2 linked regions of the Drosophila melanogaster genome follow. The protein of the gene in region 1 interacts with the protein of each later gene in a pairwise test. Each region holds a gene or a part of one and is shown on either strand. Other genes may lie near its edges. The genes, in order: Gdh and CG15564.

Region 1 (10,424 bases):
ATCGCACAGCTCAAAGACACTGAGATTCGGTGTTACGTGGAGTCCACAATGCAACCCACTCAAACACATCCACGGCGTTTATAAGTCAAGGTGATCATTATTGGTAGAAAAAATCCAAAAACTTACAATGACTCTTAATTGTTGGACGTTAAGCCGGCGCTGAAACCAGCGACATGGCCCATTACGCGATTCTAGCCAGTGGAACAGCAGGCCATTTGGATCCAAATTGCAATTCCAACGCCATGACACTTAACTAATGACCGACCGCCTCTTGTTTTCGCTTTCAGATCTTTGGCAAGCTGCTGGAGAAGAATCCCGGCATCGTGGACAAGGTGCGCGTGGTAAAGGGCGATCTGCTGGAGCCGGACCTTGGCCTGAGCGCCAATGACACCAACACACTCGCCTCCAACGTCGAGGTGGTCTTCCACTGTGCGGCCAATGTGCGCTTCGACCAGCCGCTGCGTCCCATGGTCATGATGAACGTGGTGGGCACCCTGAAGGTCCTCCGCCTCGCTGAGAAGATGAGCCAGCTGCAGGCTCTGGTCCACGTGTCCACCTCATACTGCCAGTGCAACGAGAGCGTTCTGGAGGAGCGAGCCTACCCGGCTCCACAGAACCCCTTCTCCATCATCGAAATGGTGGAGACGATGGACGACGAAGCTCTGGCGGAGATTACACCCAAGTAAGTGGTTGAAATTGCTCTTCCTGAGCCGCAGATATTATTGCTCTTATTATTCGCGTCCAATGAATTTTGAGCAGCACTTACTTTTAGTAAACAAACGCTTATAAAGATTTGGGCTATCTAAATACTGGCTGAAATATAATGAAGTGCCTATAGTTTCATGCTCCTTTACAGGCGTACCTTGGTGGCACCTAATAACCAGTTTCTTTGGCTTATTTTTAGATTACTAAACGGCTTGCCAAACACGTACGCTTACAGCAAGGCGCTGTCGGAAGATTTAATTTGCAGATACAACAATAAGCTGCCCATAATCATCACAAGGCCCTCGATCGGTGGGTATACCATAGTGTCTACTCTGTTTTTGTGCCTCCTGGCTAATTGCTTTATTAAATCCATTGCAGTGACGGCCGCCATTCACGAGCCATTGCCCGGCTGGATCGAGGGCGTCAATGGACCCACCGGCCTAATGATCGGCGCCGCCCGCGGAGTCATCCGATCGATGCACTGCAATCCGGACTACGCCTCCACGGTGATACCCGTAGACAAGGCCATTAACGGCATGATCCTGTGCGGCTATCAGCGCGGAAAGGCCAGCCAGGAGAAGGGTAACAAGCAGACGGGTGTTGAGTTCTGCAATCTGTGCATCTCCAGCAAGGCGCTGATGTCCTGGGGCGACAGCATCGAGACGGGTCGTCGATTCTTCTACGAAACGCCGCTCAGCTTTGCGCTCTGGTATCCGGGTGGATCCATCAAAAAGAACTACTACCACCACCTTTTCTGCGTCATCTTCTTCCACTATCTGCCCGCATACTTCATCGACTTTTGGCTGCTCGTCTTTGGCCAAAAGCCATTGTAAGTAAACGGTTAAATTTTAAGTTCTCCTATTAACACATGGATTATTCCCATCCAGCTTACTCAATGTCCAACGCAAAGTGTCCATGGGTCTGAAGCTGCTGCAGTACTACACAACGAAAAGGTGGGAGTTCCGAAACGAGCGCTTCCAGGAGATGAGCAGTCAGCTGAGCCTCCTGGATCAGGACCTCTTCGACACGTCGGTGGGTCAGGTCAATTGGGAGACATACATCAGTAACTACATTGTGGGCATGCGCACCTATATACTGGGCGAGAGCGAGGACACTCTGCCGCAGGCCAGGAAGGTCCTGCGACGGCTGTATATCCTCGACTGGGTCAGCAAAGTGCTGTTTTTCTCCCTGAGCTTCTGGTTCCTGTGGACCCATTTGGATGGCTTCGTGGAACGGAGCGATGCCTTCATCCGATCCTCGCTCAGCACCATTTACCATGAGCGAAACAGCACCATACATGTATAAACTCTTCTTTAATTATGTACTTCAAATATAGTCCACAAGATTTTGTTTCTTTTTAAGTAAGCTAGCTGTGTTTTATTTCTATTTTAACTAAGGATTAAAACTCAAAACAGTCACATAGGAATTGTGTGAAAGATCAATAGCATGATAAGCCCGAAAGTTACGTGGTAAATTCCTGAAAGTATGAGCTCTAAATAAAAAATTTAGCAAAACCTTTAAAAAAACACCTTATATAAAATATACCTTGTATATATCGTTTGTATTGTACTGTACGATGTTTATTACTTAGATTTTCAAGTGCTTTCTAAAAGAAACTCAGTACCCCCCTGAATTCAACATATAGCCGAAGATGATAAATCATAGCTTAATCTTGGAGTCAAAGAAAAACGTGAACGTGAAACCGATAACAAATACCTAATCTCGCCCTGGCAACGAAGCGAGTAATCCGCCGGCGGTGGTGCCGCGTTTCTAGCGGGCACTCCACCCACAGAGCTTTTCGGTGAAAAGTTTGCACCGCTCTCGCCGGAGAGCAAAAAGCTCGGCGCTCCGAAAAAGCCGACATATATATACATATCTATGCGAGTGCCTCGGCCAGTTTGGTGCGGCGTCGAGTAGCGAGCGGTTGTGTAGAACAGAATAAAAAAAGAGTTGGAACCCGAAGAATCCAAGCGATTAGCAGCATGTATCACCTGAAGAGTCTGGCCCGCCAGGGCGCCCGCCGCCAGCAGGAGCTGGCCACGCTGGCCAAGGCACTGCCCACCGCTGTGATGCAGTCGAGCCGCGGCTATGCCACCGAGCACCAGATTCCCGACCGCCTCAAGGATGTGCCCACCGCCAAGGATCCGCGCTTCTTCGACATGGTCGAGTATTTCTTCCATCGCGGCTGCCAAATCGCCGAGGAATCGCTGGTGGACGACATGAAGGGCAAGCTGACCCGCGACGAGAAGAAGCAGAAGGTGAAGGGCATCCTCATGCTGATGCAGCCCTGCGACCACATCATCGAGATCGCCTTCCCCCTGCGCCGCGATGCCGGCAACTACGAGATGATCACCGGCTACCGCGCCCAGCACAGCACCCACAAGACGCCCACCAAGGGAGGCAAGTGTTGATCCAAGATAACCCAAGATATAATAGTCAGAACTCTGCACGTAGGTAGTAAAAAATGAGACGTTAAGAGGTTTTCAAAAGGGATGCAAACAAAAGTGCCAAACCTATAGAGACCACTAGATGATTCAGTTTTCCTTGAAAATCTAAAACAAAAAATGCAATTACCTAGCAAGTTTAAAGCAAAAATTTGTCAACACTTACTTAAGTTTTAAGAAACCCTCAGAACAGCTGTTGTCGCTCGATGCAAAATCGATTTTTCCTTAGGCATTTCTGGCATTTCGTCTTGATTTTTCAAGTTATGTAACCCAGTATATAAGCCACACCAGACCAGACCCCCTTTTCCCCACGTTCTGCGCATGTACCGCTGCCGCCTGTTTTGTTTACGTTTTAGCCGACTGGGCTCCCCCTTTCTCCACATTTTTTTTTTTTTTTTTTTTGTTATTTGAGGGTTTTTAGGCCGCATTGCATAAGGCTCGGACGTTGGGCACACGTGTTTGCATTAGATTTCCAAACCCTTCAAGTGTGCCACCATTCAAAAACAGATGTACATATGCTGAATGTACTGCCCGCTTTTCGCACATTTCATTATTTTCGAGCTGGCAAATGTATTTCGATTCTTTCGCTGCTGTTTGTTTTTCCTTTGGCTGGGTGCTATTTATAATGAACTTTTGCTTGTGTTTTGCTTTCTAATTGAAATGAGAGCACAGCACTGCACAGTGTGTCAAGTGCTAAAAAAAAAGTAACGCCCCTAACCACCAAAAAAAAAAAGAAAAAATCTCCTTGTTGTCAGGCCACAAAAATTGTTTGTTCCGAATTCTGTTCCTTTTTTTTTTGCTTCATCTCAAATTATTAATTATAGAATCAGTTTGGTGCTTATCAAAAGCAAAAAAAAAAGAACACAAAAAATATGTAGTGAAAAATATTCGACTAGGGAATCTTATCTGACCTTGGTTATGCGCAAAAATAGAAAACAGAAACAGCCGAAAAAACGCTATGCCCCTAAAATTTGTTGTTTACGATTATTGCCACGCTTCTTAACACTTTATGATCTTGTTTTCGATCCATAGATCGATCGATCGATCATGTGGCTTAGTTAGTTGGGTCACCAAAAGTTGTAAACAGCCTGTTACTAAGTGAATTGAATCCACCTTATGGCTCGTTAATGATTCACTCAAATAGCCAGCTCTCTGCTATTTCAGTCAAAGGTGCTAAAAATTGCTAGTCTATTTATTTACTTAGTACTACTAGATCAATGGACAGTGTTTAATGGCCACCATTTTGTGCGCTCCATGCTCTAATTAATGTTAATTCCCGCTGATGCATCTGCCATTTGGCTGTTAATTATTTAATACGTTCTGCGTATGTACATACATCAAGTCCCCGGTCTCGAATTTCGGCAAAAGTGCCCCTTTAAAAAAAAAACAGCCGGCTCATGAATTTCGTTTCGTTTGGTTCCCTGTCCAAATGTCGAGTTGTGTGTGCCTCTAAAGAACTGGTTTTAATTTGCCCGGGGTGTCTGTCCGTTCGGCTTTGTTCACGTGATAGTCACGTTGTGCCAAAAAAAAAAGAATTGAACAAAAACTGCGAGTTTATGATATATGCGTCATACGCTTCACCACTGTGCTGGTTTTCTTTAATTTTTTTTTTTTCAACAAATGGGGGTCCATTCAAAACCGATTTGATCTGGCCTACGACTGTGGAACTTTCTACACATGTCGATGAACCGATCTAAATTGTCTAGTCAATTGAGTGGTCTGCTTTGCATTTACTCAACCACAAGTACAAGTGATGCATTCAAACTCGAATCGAACGCGACAAAATAAAAAACTGATAATGTAAAGCGGCCCTATCGCCAATGTATTATTTATACATATTTATTATACACATGTGGCGACAAATGTACACACATTAGTTCAAGTAAATAGCGTTGCCCACAAGTACTTGGCAGTTATCTTATTGACAAACATGTTTCCATTCTATTTGCTACCCGTCGAGAGTTGCACTCGAAAAATGCGTATGCAAATCGTGTTAATTGTGTTACACTCAAGTTGATTCCCCGATACTTACCTCGCCCTGGAAAAAAAACAAACAAACCTGTACCCATTATCTAGTTCACAGCTAAATAGTTGATCACGATGGTATCGACATCGAAATGGCATGTTTCTTAGCACTCAACTTCGCTGGGGGTGCGTCCATATCTGCGTCACTTCCGTTCTTATCCCCCCAATCTTATCGAGCATTGAGATCTCAAGGCCCCCACTGACAAAAAGATTTCGGAGAAGTTTTTGCACTCGGCGGCATTCTAATCATATGGCGTAGAATTCTGGTCAGCTGACTTGGTGAGGCAACCGGTTTGGTCTATTCGAAAAACAAAAAGATCGTCGCCTGTTGCCAATGGGGAATATATACATATGGGCATACTTATAGACGTGGCTATATGGCACACACACACACAGCCACACGATCGAGCCCCCAAATGTGTTATCGCACCACCGATTGTATAAGCAGCAGCATGCCCAACTAGACTATATAGGCAGCTATCTTTGGAACCTTAATAGATTCATTCTTTCTGTATTGTTTTTCGAAAAATTTTTGGCAAAAAACGAAAACAAGTCGACTGATCAAGCCGGTTGGTGCTGTTACTCTGGCATTTCGTCTGCTGTTTTTTTTTGTTTGTTTCTTATGGTAAACATAAGCGAAAAGAAAGGCGAAGAATGGGGCTTCGCCAAATAGAGAATGATTCGCTGTCGTCAAGCGCGGTGGGTACAGTCAGCACCATTCTCAGCTGGACTTGGGATTCGATTCGATATGAGGGCTTAGCTCACTCAGCGGAAAGGCAAAGCGAAGACGCCAAATGGCTGTAAAAAAAAGGCTCTGCAAACTCAAAAACCACTCATTATAAACTGAAAGTCTGGCTTTAAATTAATAAATGCTACGTGAATACAATCTTCCCAACACCAGCTCACTAATCTTAAAGTTTATTATTAAAAAGCACAGATTATGTGCTCCTTAAGATTAAAGATTCAGTAACAGCACGGAAGAACCTATTTTTAGGTTGTTTACAAGCATACCGGATCATAATTCACTTCAGTCGCGACAGGATAGTGTACTTTAAAATCAGACTGGCCCTTGAAAAACAATGATACACAAATAAGTTCCAATCGGTACATAATGAATTGTAATTTTTTGAAATTGTGTACTCATCGTTTTATTTGTTTATAAGTTCCAGTTGCCGGGCCCCAAAAAAATGCTACACAGCTGATAATGTCAAGAACTTATTTCGAGTGCCAAAAGCAAATTCAGAGATTGTTTTTTGTGTGGAGAAACCAAAAATTTGCTTGATTCATGGTCACTATCGACCGGCCACTTGGCAACAAGGCATTTAATTTAATCGCAAAAATTAAGCTAATTTTGGATTTTATAGTCTTGTTTTTTGGGGGCTCGTCCCGGGGTTCTAATGGGGAAGTCATTAATTTACCTAGTTCTACATACAAATTTACGTATGTATAAAGGCCATTTGGTGGAACTTGCTCTTGCCAATAAAGCAGCATTTATATTTATCGATCCATAAAAAGCGGGCACTTTGCACTTTTAAGTTCTTACAATTAAAACACCCTTGTTAAATTCGAATTACAAGCACGAAATTTTGGCTTATCTAATCGCGCCGACTTCCCAAAGATATAAACATTATATGTGCCAAGCAAATAAAGATAAGAGCCAAGGAGGGGTTTTATGGTTTCTGTTCATGGGATTGTTGCGCCATCGGCGAAAGGTTTCCCCACGTCTGCCAGATGCAATGATTTTGTTTTTAGGGCACGTGCTTTAGTAAAACAGCCAAGAAATGTTCGGTTGTATCATCGATTCGAGGAGAACTTTTGCTTTCCGCGAGGAATTCGTGTAGTTTGTCGTCTATTTTTGTATTTGTCTGTTGGATTTAGACCAAAAATGAAAGCTGCAACAAGGTCGCCGAAAGTTCTGAGCACACCTGTCGTATACGTAATGTGCTTATGCAATTCTTTTCCCTTGCAGGCATCCGTTTCTCGTTGGATGTGTCACGCGATGAGGTCAAAGCCCTGTCCGCCCTGATGACCTTCAAGTGCGCCTGCGTGGATGTGCCATTCGGCGGAGCCAAGGCCGGTCTGAAGATCAACCCTAAGGAGTACTCCGAGCACGAGCTGGAGAAGATCACCCGTCGCTTCACCCTTGAGTTGGCCAAGAAGGGCTTCATTGGACCCGGTGTCGATGTGCCCGCCCCCGACATGGGAACCGGTGAGCGCGAGATGTCCTGGATTGCCGATACTTATGCCAAGACCATCGGTCACCTGGACATCAATGCTCATGCCTGTGTCACCGGCAAGCCCATCAACCAGGGCGGTATCCACGGACGCGTCTCGGCCACCGGTCGCGGTGTCTTCCACGGCCTGGAGAACTTCATCAACGAGGCCAACTACATGAGCCAGATCGGTGAGTGTTGCATCATGATTGTCTAGTTATGAAAGTGCATCATCCTAATGGTAATATCTACATTCTTAGGCACCACTCCCGGCTGGGGCGGCAAGACCTTCATCGTCCAGGGCTTCGGTAACGTGGGCCTGCACACCACTCGCTATCTGACCCGCGCCGGAGCCACCTGCATCGGTGTCATTGAGCACGACGGCACTCTGTACAACCCGGAGGGCATTGACCCTAAGCTGCTGGAGGACTACAAGAACGAGCACGGCACCATTGTGGGCTACCAGAACGCCAAGCCCTACGAGGGCGAGAACCTCATGTTCGAGAAGTGCGACATCTTCATTCCCGCTGCCGTCGAGAAGGTCATCACCAGCGAGAATGCCAACCGCATTCAAGCTAAGGTAAAGTCTTAATTGAATATAACAAAAGAATCTTGTAAAAATGGGAATATATTCCCGTTTCAAAATGGTTAATATATATTTTAAATAATTTTCATCAATTTTAGATCATTGCCGAGGCTGCCAACGGCCCCACCACCCCCGCTGCCGACAAGATCCTCATCGATCGCAACATCCTGGTCATTCCCGATCTGTACATCAACGCCGGTGGTGTCACCGTCTCCTTCTTCGAGTGGCTGAAGAACCTGAACCACGTCTCGTACGGTCGCCTGACCTTCAAGTATGAGCGCGAGTCCAACTACCATCTGCTTGGTAAGTTTATCACACTATTATTATGCAAAACAATAGGCTCTTGAAGGCACTTGCTCCTCATCTCGTTATCTATCAATCTATCTATCTATCTGAATAAGTATACTTTGGCCCATTGATCATGCCATCTCATTGATTGGTTTATGGATTTAGTTATGCTATTTATTTTAGAAAACACAAAACCTATTAGAAAAGCGCTTGCTCTTTCGGCATTTGCTCTTCCCATATTGGTTCAGTACTTCCAAATTTCGTTTCTCGTCAATTTACTTTCGATTTATTATCCACCTACACCTGAAAATCAAACCATAACCAAGAGACTCTAAGATCGTTATATAATTTTGAAGTATCATCTAAGTAATTCGTTGTTTATTCTTCTTCTTTTTCCGTTTCTCTATCAACAATGTAGCCTCAGTCCAACAGTCAATTGAAAGAATCATTAATGACGGTACATTCTGATTATTAATTCTTTTCGTTACCACCTATCCATCCTTAAGCCCAAAAAACTTTTTCTACCTCATGTTTACCTTTTTTGTAGTTAGTTTTGTTCTGTAACGTTTATTTTGTGCATTTATTACTTGTTGCTTTATCCAAAAAAAAAAAAACACAATATCATAATCAGACTAATACCAGGAACCATCCAATCCTATGCTTTAATTCGGTATCTAATTATTTGGTGGCTTAAAAAACCCTGTCATATATGTATATGTGGTCCCTTGAGCATGTGGCACTCTTAACTAATCGCTTTGTCCTTTTGTTTCCCCCATCGCTGTTTTCCTGCAGAATCCGTTCAAGAGTCCCTGGAGCGTCGCTTCGGCCGTGTGGGCGGTCGCATCCCCGTGACCCCCTCCGAGTCGTTCCAGAAGCGCATCTCCGGCGCCTCCGAGAAGGATATCGTGCACTCCGGCCTGGACTACACCATGGAGCGCTCCGCCCGCGCCATCATGAAGACAGCCATGAAGTACAACCTGGGCCTGGACCTCAGAACCGCTGCCTACGTCAACTCCATTGAGAAGATCTTCACCACATACCGCGATGCCGGCCTGGCCTTCTAAGCCCGCTGAGTGTGCTGATTAGCCCCCAGACTCTTAACTAGTTAATTAAGCAATCGAACTCAAGAGCATAACTATTGCTATTGCTCCATGCACCGCCGTCTTAGATGAAAAGTCACAAAACCGAAATGCAAGAATCGTAATTTATATCTATGGCAATTGGAGCTGGCCAAAATAACTCTTTTAAAAAACAAAGCAAAACAAAAGCGAACTTTCGCCCGTGTTTCGTATTAAGTTGAACAAGTTGCGAGCTTATTATTGTTGATTTTCTGTAATTTTTAAGTTAATGAGCGTCAAAGTGAAGCAATTGCATTTTCAATTATGTATCGCAACGTCTCGTACCGTCAAGTCACGTTTATCGTACGATCGCTCCGTTGCCGTAACATTAAAATAATCAAATATACACAAAACTAAACTCTAAACAAGTGCATTTTAATTGTCGATTGCGGTTGGTCACTTAGCTAATCACAATGGAATACTCGTACGCAAAAACGTATATATCGCTGGATCGACTGGAATGTATCAAAAATATATGGGTTCTATAATACTATAAGTACACTTTTGTGATTAAAAAAAACGGAGATACAGCACAGCGTGCATGTGAGAGTATCCGTGTCCGTATACAAATTGGAAGAGGTTTGATAATCGTTTAAAAAACTAGTGGATTACAAGCTACAGGGAATAAATGTCTCCGGGTCCGAGTGCATGTCAACGTGGTGCAATCTTTTGATAGAAGTAGTGAATCAAAGAACCAACGATTTCGGAAACAATTGCTGCTTCACATAGTCGTTAATCATCTCCATGAGCAGCTCGCGAGTGACTTTCGGATGCTGCAGCACGTAGCCAAAGTCTTTCAGTTTCGTGTTATCCAAGTAGAGGTGCTTGTGCTGGAGCTGCTCCTCATCTAGGTACGGTGTCAGCGGGGTGTTGTCGATGCCATTGCGCTGGCAAATCTCGGCCCAGGGTGCCATGTGCTTGTCGTTGATTTCACTGACGGTGTCCGTGGGATAAAGCTGAAAATTCAAGCGAATAATAAACAATAAGCTGAAGCTTAGTGCGCCGATTAAATGCTAACTTACTTTTGCCAAATTCGACATTACAA
Region 2 (7,695 bases), 7.3 Mb from region 1:
TGCTGTTATGTTCGTAAATATATTTAATATATGTATGTAAAATTAACGAAAAACAAAACCACACACAAAAAAAGTAATAAAACCGAAATAACTTTTAAATAAAAAAATCACAAAACACAGAAAATGAATAAAAATCTATATGAATAGTTAACGTATTCGTACTCTACCTACATACTATTACTATGTACTATATAATGTATTGTAACTGTAATTTACTAAAATCGTAATAATACGTAGAGAATTAACTGACGTTTAAACATAAATCATCGACATCCACATAAACACACAAAGAGTCCCTATTTGAGTTGAAAACGAGAGCTCAAAGGGGATAATTGGCACATCCATAAGCCAGAAGAAATCATTATCATCCACAAAAACAAAAAAAAAGTAGTAAAATATTCTCTTTTTGCTTTATGTGATCTATTACATACTACATAAACATATGTATAATAATAAAAATGTCCTTCAAAAACAAACTCGAGAGAAATGATTGAATTTATTTTTCCTAGCAGTCGGAACGATGCAGTTTGAGGGCAACTGTTTAATGCTAAAACAGTTTGATGGGAACTGGTTGCCAACGAATATTTAGGTACAGTAATCGCTATGTTAAAAGTGGTTTTAATTTATTAATATATTTTATTTTTCTGTATAATTGATTGTTTTGTATTTACAAGATATTACTTATGCTATATATAAGCCAAAATGAATTATTTGTCAATATTAAATTAACAAAGATTCGAAAGAGTTCGTAGATCTATTTTTTTCTTTATTACCTATTTATTAAACTACCTACACTCTCCATCAAAAGAGATTTTGTAATTTAATTCACCACCCTGACCATATTTTTTAGTTTTCCCTTAATTTAGAAAACAACCTATTCAAAACTTTGGTCAACTTACTAGAAGCAAGTTGGCAAAATTTTCACAGAGATAGTACAAATGACATATAGGCTGATATTAATATTACTGGAATTGCGAACTTGAAGAACCTAAAATAGTAATAAATAAATAATTACTCCAGTAATGTGATTTCATGGGTCTTGGCATCGATTGATTTCTGAGCAGATGACTTAAGCGCACAAACTACGAGCCAGTCAGAAGGTGAGGGAATATCCTTGAATATCCAAGAATCCTTGGCCTTACGCCGATTCGCTGGCGCCATAGAGCAGATTGTCCAGTTTCAGTTTGTTGATCTTGTCGCCACGGGCTCCATGTCCTGGTCTGCCCCAGAACGTTTCGAATGTGTCGAAATGTTGGTTGCACAGATCCCTGTCCAGTTGCTTGGAAACGGAGACGGATCGACGGTTCTGCGAGATCTGGACATTCAGGTCGTGCAGATAGCGCATGTCGGCGGCCGTTTGAATCCTGGTTGCCGGTCGATTGGTGGGCAGCAATATTATAGTTTCATTTATATCAGTTCGATTTTTCAGATTTCGAATTTTCGATTTTCGGTTTTCAGTTCGATTTGTTTTGCACGGGGATACATACATAGAAGATTGGTATTATGATTTTTGACTTTTGCTGTTGCGGTTTGTTTGATTTTGGTGAGATTGGTATTTGGTTTGCTCGTTTGGTTGCTATACTTTCACTTGTATTACAATGGATATTTTCTTGCTGGATGAGCCGAGGAGAAGTGGGGGATTAGAGAAACCATTAACAGAACAAGATCACAAGGCAAAGGCATAGAGGGGCAAGCGGACTTTCGTTTCAATGTCTGGCGCAGAGCAAGCAAATGAGAAACGGTGGGAGCAGGGAGGTGGTGGAATGGTAGTACTATGAAAGCAGGAGGGGATCGGGATTGATAGAACGTGGGTTTCAAGCCTGGCGAATGTGCAGGGTCAGCCGCTTGAGGCAGCAGCCCGTGGCCAAGGCCGTGGGGCAATCGCAACTGCAACACTGCAGCTTGCAGTTCAGATTCTTGGGCAGCCGCTTCATGTGGCTAATGTTCTTGATGATGCTGTTGATGCACTTGATCTTGGTGGTGGTCAGCTGACAGTTCTTTGGTGGATGCTTGTGCTTGGATGCGTACCTATCGTGCGACGGTGTCCTCTTGGTCACGTCCGTGCTGGAGAGACTGATGGGTCGGTGCATGCCACGCCTTCTGGCGAGCAGGGGAACCAGCTCCACCCCACCACCTTCGCCATAGGCTCCTCCCTTTCCTCCCGCTGTGCTGGGATCCGGAGTGGCGGTACTGGTGCTCCCGGGACAGGGACCTCTCGACGCTATGCGGGGGCACAACTTGATGGGCTTGCTACCGCAGTCCTGCGGCTTCAAGTGGTGCAGCATTTTTCCGGGCGGCGGACCTGGCGGACCCGGGCACTTTTTGCCTGGCGGAATGGGAAGTGAGAGTGGCGACGGCTTGGGCGGACTCTTTTGCATGGCGGGACATTTGCAAGTGCACAACTCACAGCAGCGCTGCGGCTTTGGTGGCTTGCCTGGTCGCGATTTGCGAAAGGTGTTCTTCTCCGCGGGAGTCACCGGGTTATCTTGGTCCAACTCCTTCAGCATCTCCTTGTTCGTCCAACCCTGAAATTAGATTATATTTAAACAGTGTACATATGAGCACAAGCGACTGATACCCACCAGTGACTTCATGAACGTGTTGCCCACTTCCTTGGGACTCCGCCATGGCTTGCCGCCCGGACCCGCCTTGCCCCACGGCTCCTTGCAGGACTAGAAGGAGGACAGATAAAGAGGGATTAGTTAAACTTGGTTTCAGGGGGCGTAATAAGTGCCGCTCACCGGCTTTTCGAGTTTGGCTTGCAAGCGCTTCTTCTGAGTGGCCAGCTTTTCCTGCAAAGGACATCGCTGCTCACTCTCGCTGACTACGATCTTCTCCAGAAGCGGCTTCCCCTTGCACGGAGGAGAGGGCTTGTACCGCAATTCTATGTCCACATGGCCTTTATTGCGAAACGACATTGAAGGATGTTCTTTCAGCTCGATGTGAAGGCTCTCACCGTTGGCGTTTTTGGCCACATTGACACCAACTGCCGCTCCGGGCTTGTGCGGAATCTCCCGCTCGCAAATCGTTACGGTGCTGCTCCTGGGACCACTTTCCTGCAGGTGATGGACCGAGTGGGCGTGGCCCAGTCGGCCACCCGGCGGCGGAGCAGGCGGGGCGTGGTGGTGGTGGTGATGGTAGGCGGCCAGCGGGTTGTTGTGGCACTTCTTCTGCATCGAGAAGAAGTCGTTGTAGCGACACGGCTGCAGTAGATTCATTCGGTGGGCATTGGTCTGCGGCACATTCAAATTATTGGAGTAGAATATATGTTATTCGAGAAGGATTCAAGAGTCCTTACCACTGTGGGCGTCGAGTGAAGGCCAGCGGCTGTGATGTCCTTGCGTCGCACCTCTACGTTGGGTGCCCCACCACCAGGTCGACCCCAGGGACAATGTTGGTGAAACAGGTCGTAGTACTGGATAAAAGAACATTGTTGATACGAATTGATCTTCAACTTATTTCAGTAAAGATTGTGATGCTTGGAAAAATCGTTTAGGCAAACTAACGTATCCTCCGCTGAAATCATGAATCGCATTACCCGCAATAAAGTCACAACATAAATACATTAAATTACTTCCGCAGGACGATTACAACACCGAGTTATGCCTTATCGATTGGGTGGCAGCCTATTTGTGGCTCCAGACTGCCTCAACCCACCTCGTCGTGTCACTCCGCGAAGTGTGGCGATGTTTGTTTACGGAAATTGGCAAATTCAGGAGCTCCCGCTGCCCTGGCCCACAAAGTTTGTTAGTAGGTTGTTGTTATAGTTGCAGCGAACGGCGATTTGCATTTCACTGATTTTTTTCACCCACATTTCGGTTGGCGCTTTCACACAGCTGCAGGTTGTGATAGGTAGTGGAGCAAGGAGCCAGGACTCCAGTCACGCAAGGACTCGCAGGAGTTGGGCTTTTAGCCGAAGAGAGGGGATTTGATTACCGAAGTCGAAATTGTCAAAGGGTTTGTTGAACCAGATCCGCGGGGGCGGATGCCTTACATGTTGCTTGAGGCAGGTCTTTGAACTTACCAAAAGTTGCAACTATTGCGTGGCGGATGGTTCGAGATGTTTTTCGATTGTCATTTCGTTCGTTTCTGGTTTTGCCTTAGACTTAGACAAAGAACTTGGAACTTGGTGAATTGATTATGGCCTTTAAAGTTTTAAAACTAATATATTTAGGGTTCAGAGTTCCAAGCTTAAGGTGTTTCAGGTAACTACTAACAACTTTGCTTGGGGCCCTAAAATATAACTCATACGCACGGTCTGGAAATATCACACACATACGCACTGTTACCCACCTCCTGCTTATCCTTCTCCTTGCGAGCACACTCCTCCGCCTTCCGGCGCCGCCACATGCGAAGACTCTCCTCTGCATTCTTGCGCTCCACAAGACGCTTCTTCTCATCGCACCACATCAGCGGATGCTGGATGTGGTCGTGGCAGAAGTTGCCCCCCATGCCCATTTCATCGCTAGTCGTCATGGCTCTCTGAATGCTCTGGAGATCCTATCTGGATGTTTGGGAAACTGGTAGAACGAGAACAGAAGTAGCGCTGCGTTCAGCAAACGCGGCGTTACTGAATCGGTCTCGTGTCCCATCCAAGCCGTTTAACCGCCGAATTGGCTGCCAGGATCCGTGCCAGGCACTAAAGGGCCGTGGATGATGGGTCGGTTGTCTAGGCAGCACGCCCGACTATTTATAACCTAGGTTAAGGCACACTTCGGTCGTCTGTCCTTGAAGGCGAGTCGAAGGATATCGAAACCTCAGCTAATTTGGTCTGGCTATTTAAATATTTCGCCAGTTAGACACGATGTTTGCCTGCTCCACTTTGCTAGACTGCCTGGACATAAAATATATTGACTTTATGTTGCCTGGAAATAATGCCACGGCTGCGTTGGCTTAACCTGAATCGTGATGCTCTGTTTTAATGAAACGCAAAAGTAAGCCTACTGCAGTATAGCGTGCCACTTAATACGAAACTTGTTGATGTTTTAAAATGAAAAGCTCTTGCAAGCCTAAGCAGCAAGCATTACTCATACGCCCCGTGTGGCAGTTACAATTTCAGCCAGCAACTCACACCGCCAAATTTATTTGTTTGCCCCAATTTCGGTTTCAGCCATGCCCGTTGCAACATAAGGCATTTTGGCCATGTCCAAAACTATTTCACTGGGTCAACCTGGTTGGTGGTTAATATGTTGCATAGCTACAAGCGGCGAAATCAGCTCCAATTTGCTTGTTTTACAAAATCGAATTTTTATTCATCTCATTAGGTATACAAATATCGTAATTACATGTATCAATATCAACATCTGTATCATTATTTTGTCGTTCGCACTCTAAAATATGTGGGTATATCGTCGTCAGCACCCAATTGTATTGATTAACTAGCCAGCAAATTTCTGCATTATATCTTTCATTTGCCTTTCTTTCAGTGTAGAGCAGGCTGTAAAGGAGCCCAATGAATTTGCATCAAAACTAAACGGACAAAAAAACGAATTTCGCTGACTAACTTAACTGAGGTTGTGTTTATAAATTAAAATAAAAACTTACATCTAAAAAGATTTGTAGAACATTTCAACATTTGGGGTTTGCGGTTCGAATTCGTTTCAAATGTCTTTTAAATTACTATTGCATTAGAGGCGGAGAAGAAAGATTTAAAATTAAGACTGGGCAGCATTGTTTCACATACAATCCTCGTTACATTTCTTATAGAACATATTATAATATGCATTTCATGCGCGAATGGTTCAAAATATTTTATTTAATCCAGCTAAACTACGGGCTTTCCACTTTAAGTTACAAGTTTGTGCGGTCGGAAGGGATTTTAAACAGAGTGCAGGCAATGACCATTGAACCATTTAGGCATGAAATGCCCTAAATCAAGTATTAATATAAAATAAACCAATTATGCTCCTCGTGCTTCGTATTAAAAATATCGCTCTACACACTGGCTTTCTTTGTTGCATTGACTAATAAACATTTTCATTTTAAAGTAGATTCCACATTTGGTGCTCGCCTGGCAACCCATTTCCATTCATTTATTTGATGAAATGTTTGTACAATTTTCTCGTTTCCCCTATTGTTGTTGGCTTTTGGCTCATGTTTCGCTCTCTATACATATAAATAAATTTGTCGAAAAACATTGCATACAAAATTTGTCAAAAATTCATTAAACATCTTGTAATTATGTTATGTACAGCGATCGTTGCCATTTAGTGTGTGTTGATTAGGTTTTTTTATGCAATTATTTACAGTGTCAACAACAAATGCCTAAAAACTAAATAATAATTCTTGTTTACAAATTGGCCCGCCGGCTGAACAGGACTTAATCCAAACATCAATGGGCCTACATAACAATATTATTATTAATATTATTATTATTGCATTACGTGTATGGTTTATGTTAGGGTGTTCGGGTGCTCGGTACTCTACTTCATGCGGTTGATGACTAAGTCGGCGACCACCTGGAGACCCTTCTGGTAGGGCGACTCCGTGAGCTCCTGGGCCAGCCGTATCGCCTCGTTGCAGTGCTTCTTGGCCAGAAACCGGGTCTGCTCCAGACCGTGCGACTTGTGCACCAGCTCGAAGGCGCGCTCCACGTCGCCGGGCTCGCTGAAGCGCCGCATCACCATGGGATTCAGCTCGGGGTACTGGAATGTACGGAAAAGGCATTTCAATTATGCAGGTTATGCAGTTTGCAGCTATGTAGCGGCTTTAAACGCACTGCACGCGTGCACAGCCCGCGGAATGCATAGCAAATGGGCATTGGTAATCGGTGGCAATTGATGAGTTACAGTCGCATTGTATCATCTGCGCATCTAGCCAACCACCCACCCACATGACATCATCACACCTTCACCGCCCGCACCATGAATACATCATCGTTGCGATGGCGCGAAGCCACTTTGGATGCATAGCAAATAGACATCTGGACAAAGAGACAGCTCAATCTAGCTCATATATACACAGAGAAAAATGGTAACTCAATCTAAAAAGAAAACACGTAGGTATGCAGACATATGAATTTAAGTGTGGCATACTTTTATACACCTACGATTTACGACTTATGTTGCATTATAACGATTTTTCTCTGTGCACAACGAAACAGCTTAGATTGGTTGGCAAGCCAACTAGGAAATATCCAACAGATCCCAGATTCCGCACTCACCTTCTCGCATGCAAAGAGGACGGGAGCGGTGGCCAGACCCAGCTTCAAATCCGCCGCCGTCGGCTTGCCCATCTGCTCGGTGGAGGAGACAAAGTCCAGCATGTCGTCGACCAGCTGAAAGGCCAAGCCGATGTTGCGTCCGTACTGGAAGGCCACCTCGGCCACGTTGTCGTCGGCCTGGGCAATCACGGCGGTCTGCAGGAGAGCCGGAGCATCGAGAATAGAGAACAGAGAACAGAGGGTTCAAGATCAGCACAAATTGCAGGGGATTGGGCACAATGGTGCGAGACTGCGTGCACACTAATTGCCGAATTAAGCGGCTAGGGTCTGGTCAATAAGTGCCTGGTCTGGTGGTCGGGCTCGCATGATGGTAATGAATACTCACCGCCTTCAGTGCATTGGCGATCAGCGATGCGGTCTTCCTGTATGTCTTGGTCAGATAATGGGCGAAGCGCTCGTTCTCCGTTTCCCTTGAGCCCAGCTGCATGAACTCGCCTTGGACCAAATCGGTCAAGATCTGCAAGAGATTACGA

What was found.
Region 2: the proteins of Gdh (region 1) and CG15564 interact in a two-hybrid assay, tested with the Drosophila melanogaster proteins (one large-scale study listed by BioGRID).

What each region holds. Positions count from the first base shown.
Region 1 is NT_033777.3:23,935,275-23,945,698, reverse strand, and holds Gdh (glutamate dehydrogenase), read left to right. Parts: upstream 1-2,597; 5' UTR 2,598-2,687; coding exon 2,688-3,105; intron 3,106-6,928; exon of another isoform or gene 6,929-7,076; intron 7,077-7,143; coding exon 7,144-7,578; intron 7,579-7,647; coding exon 7,648-7,967; intron 7,968-8,071; coding exon 8,072-8,276; intron 8,277-8,679; coding exon 8,680-8,718; intron 8,719-9,053; coding exon 9,054-9,325; 3' UTR 9,326-9,741; downstream 9,742-10,424. Other genes in the region: CG12268 (uncharacterized protein), read left to right, coding at 288-682, 905-1,014, 1,084-1,534, 1,593-2,010; CG5854 (uncharacterized protein), read right to left, coding at 10,066-10,335, 10,402-10,424.
Region 2 is NT_033777.3:31,230,806-31,238,500, forward strand, and holds CG15564 (uncharacterized protein), read right to left. Parts: upstream 4,558-7,695; 5' UTR 4,477-4,557; coding exon 4,294-4,476; intron 3,416-4,293; coding exon 3,299-3,415; intron 3,234-3,298; coding exon 2,957-3,233; intron 2,900-2,956; coding exon 2,742-2,899; intron 2,673-2,741; coding exon 2,583-2,672; intron 2,526-2,582; coding exon 1,815-2,525; 3' UTR 1,610-1,814; downstream 1-1,609. Other genes in the region: CG15563 (uncharacterized protein), read right to left, coding at 1,139-1,489; qless, read right to left, coding at 6,423-6,644, 7,163-7,357, 7,548-7,679.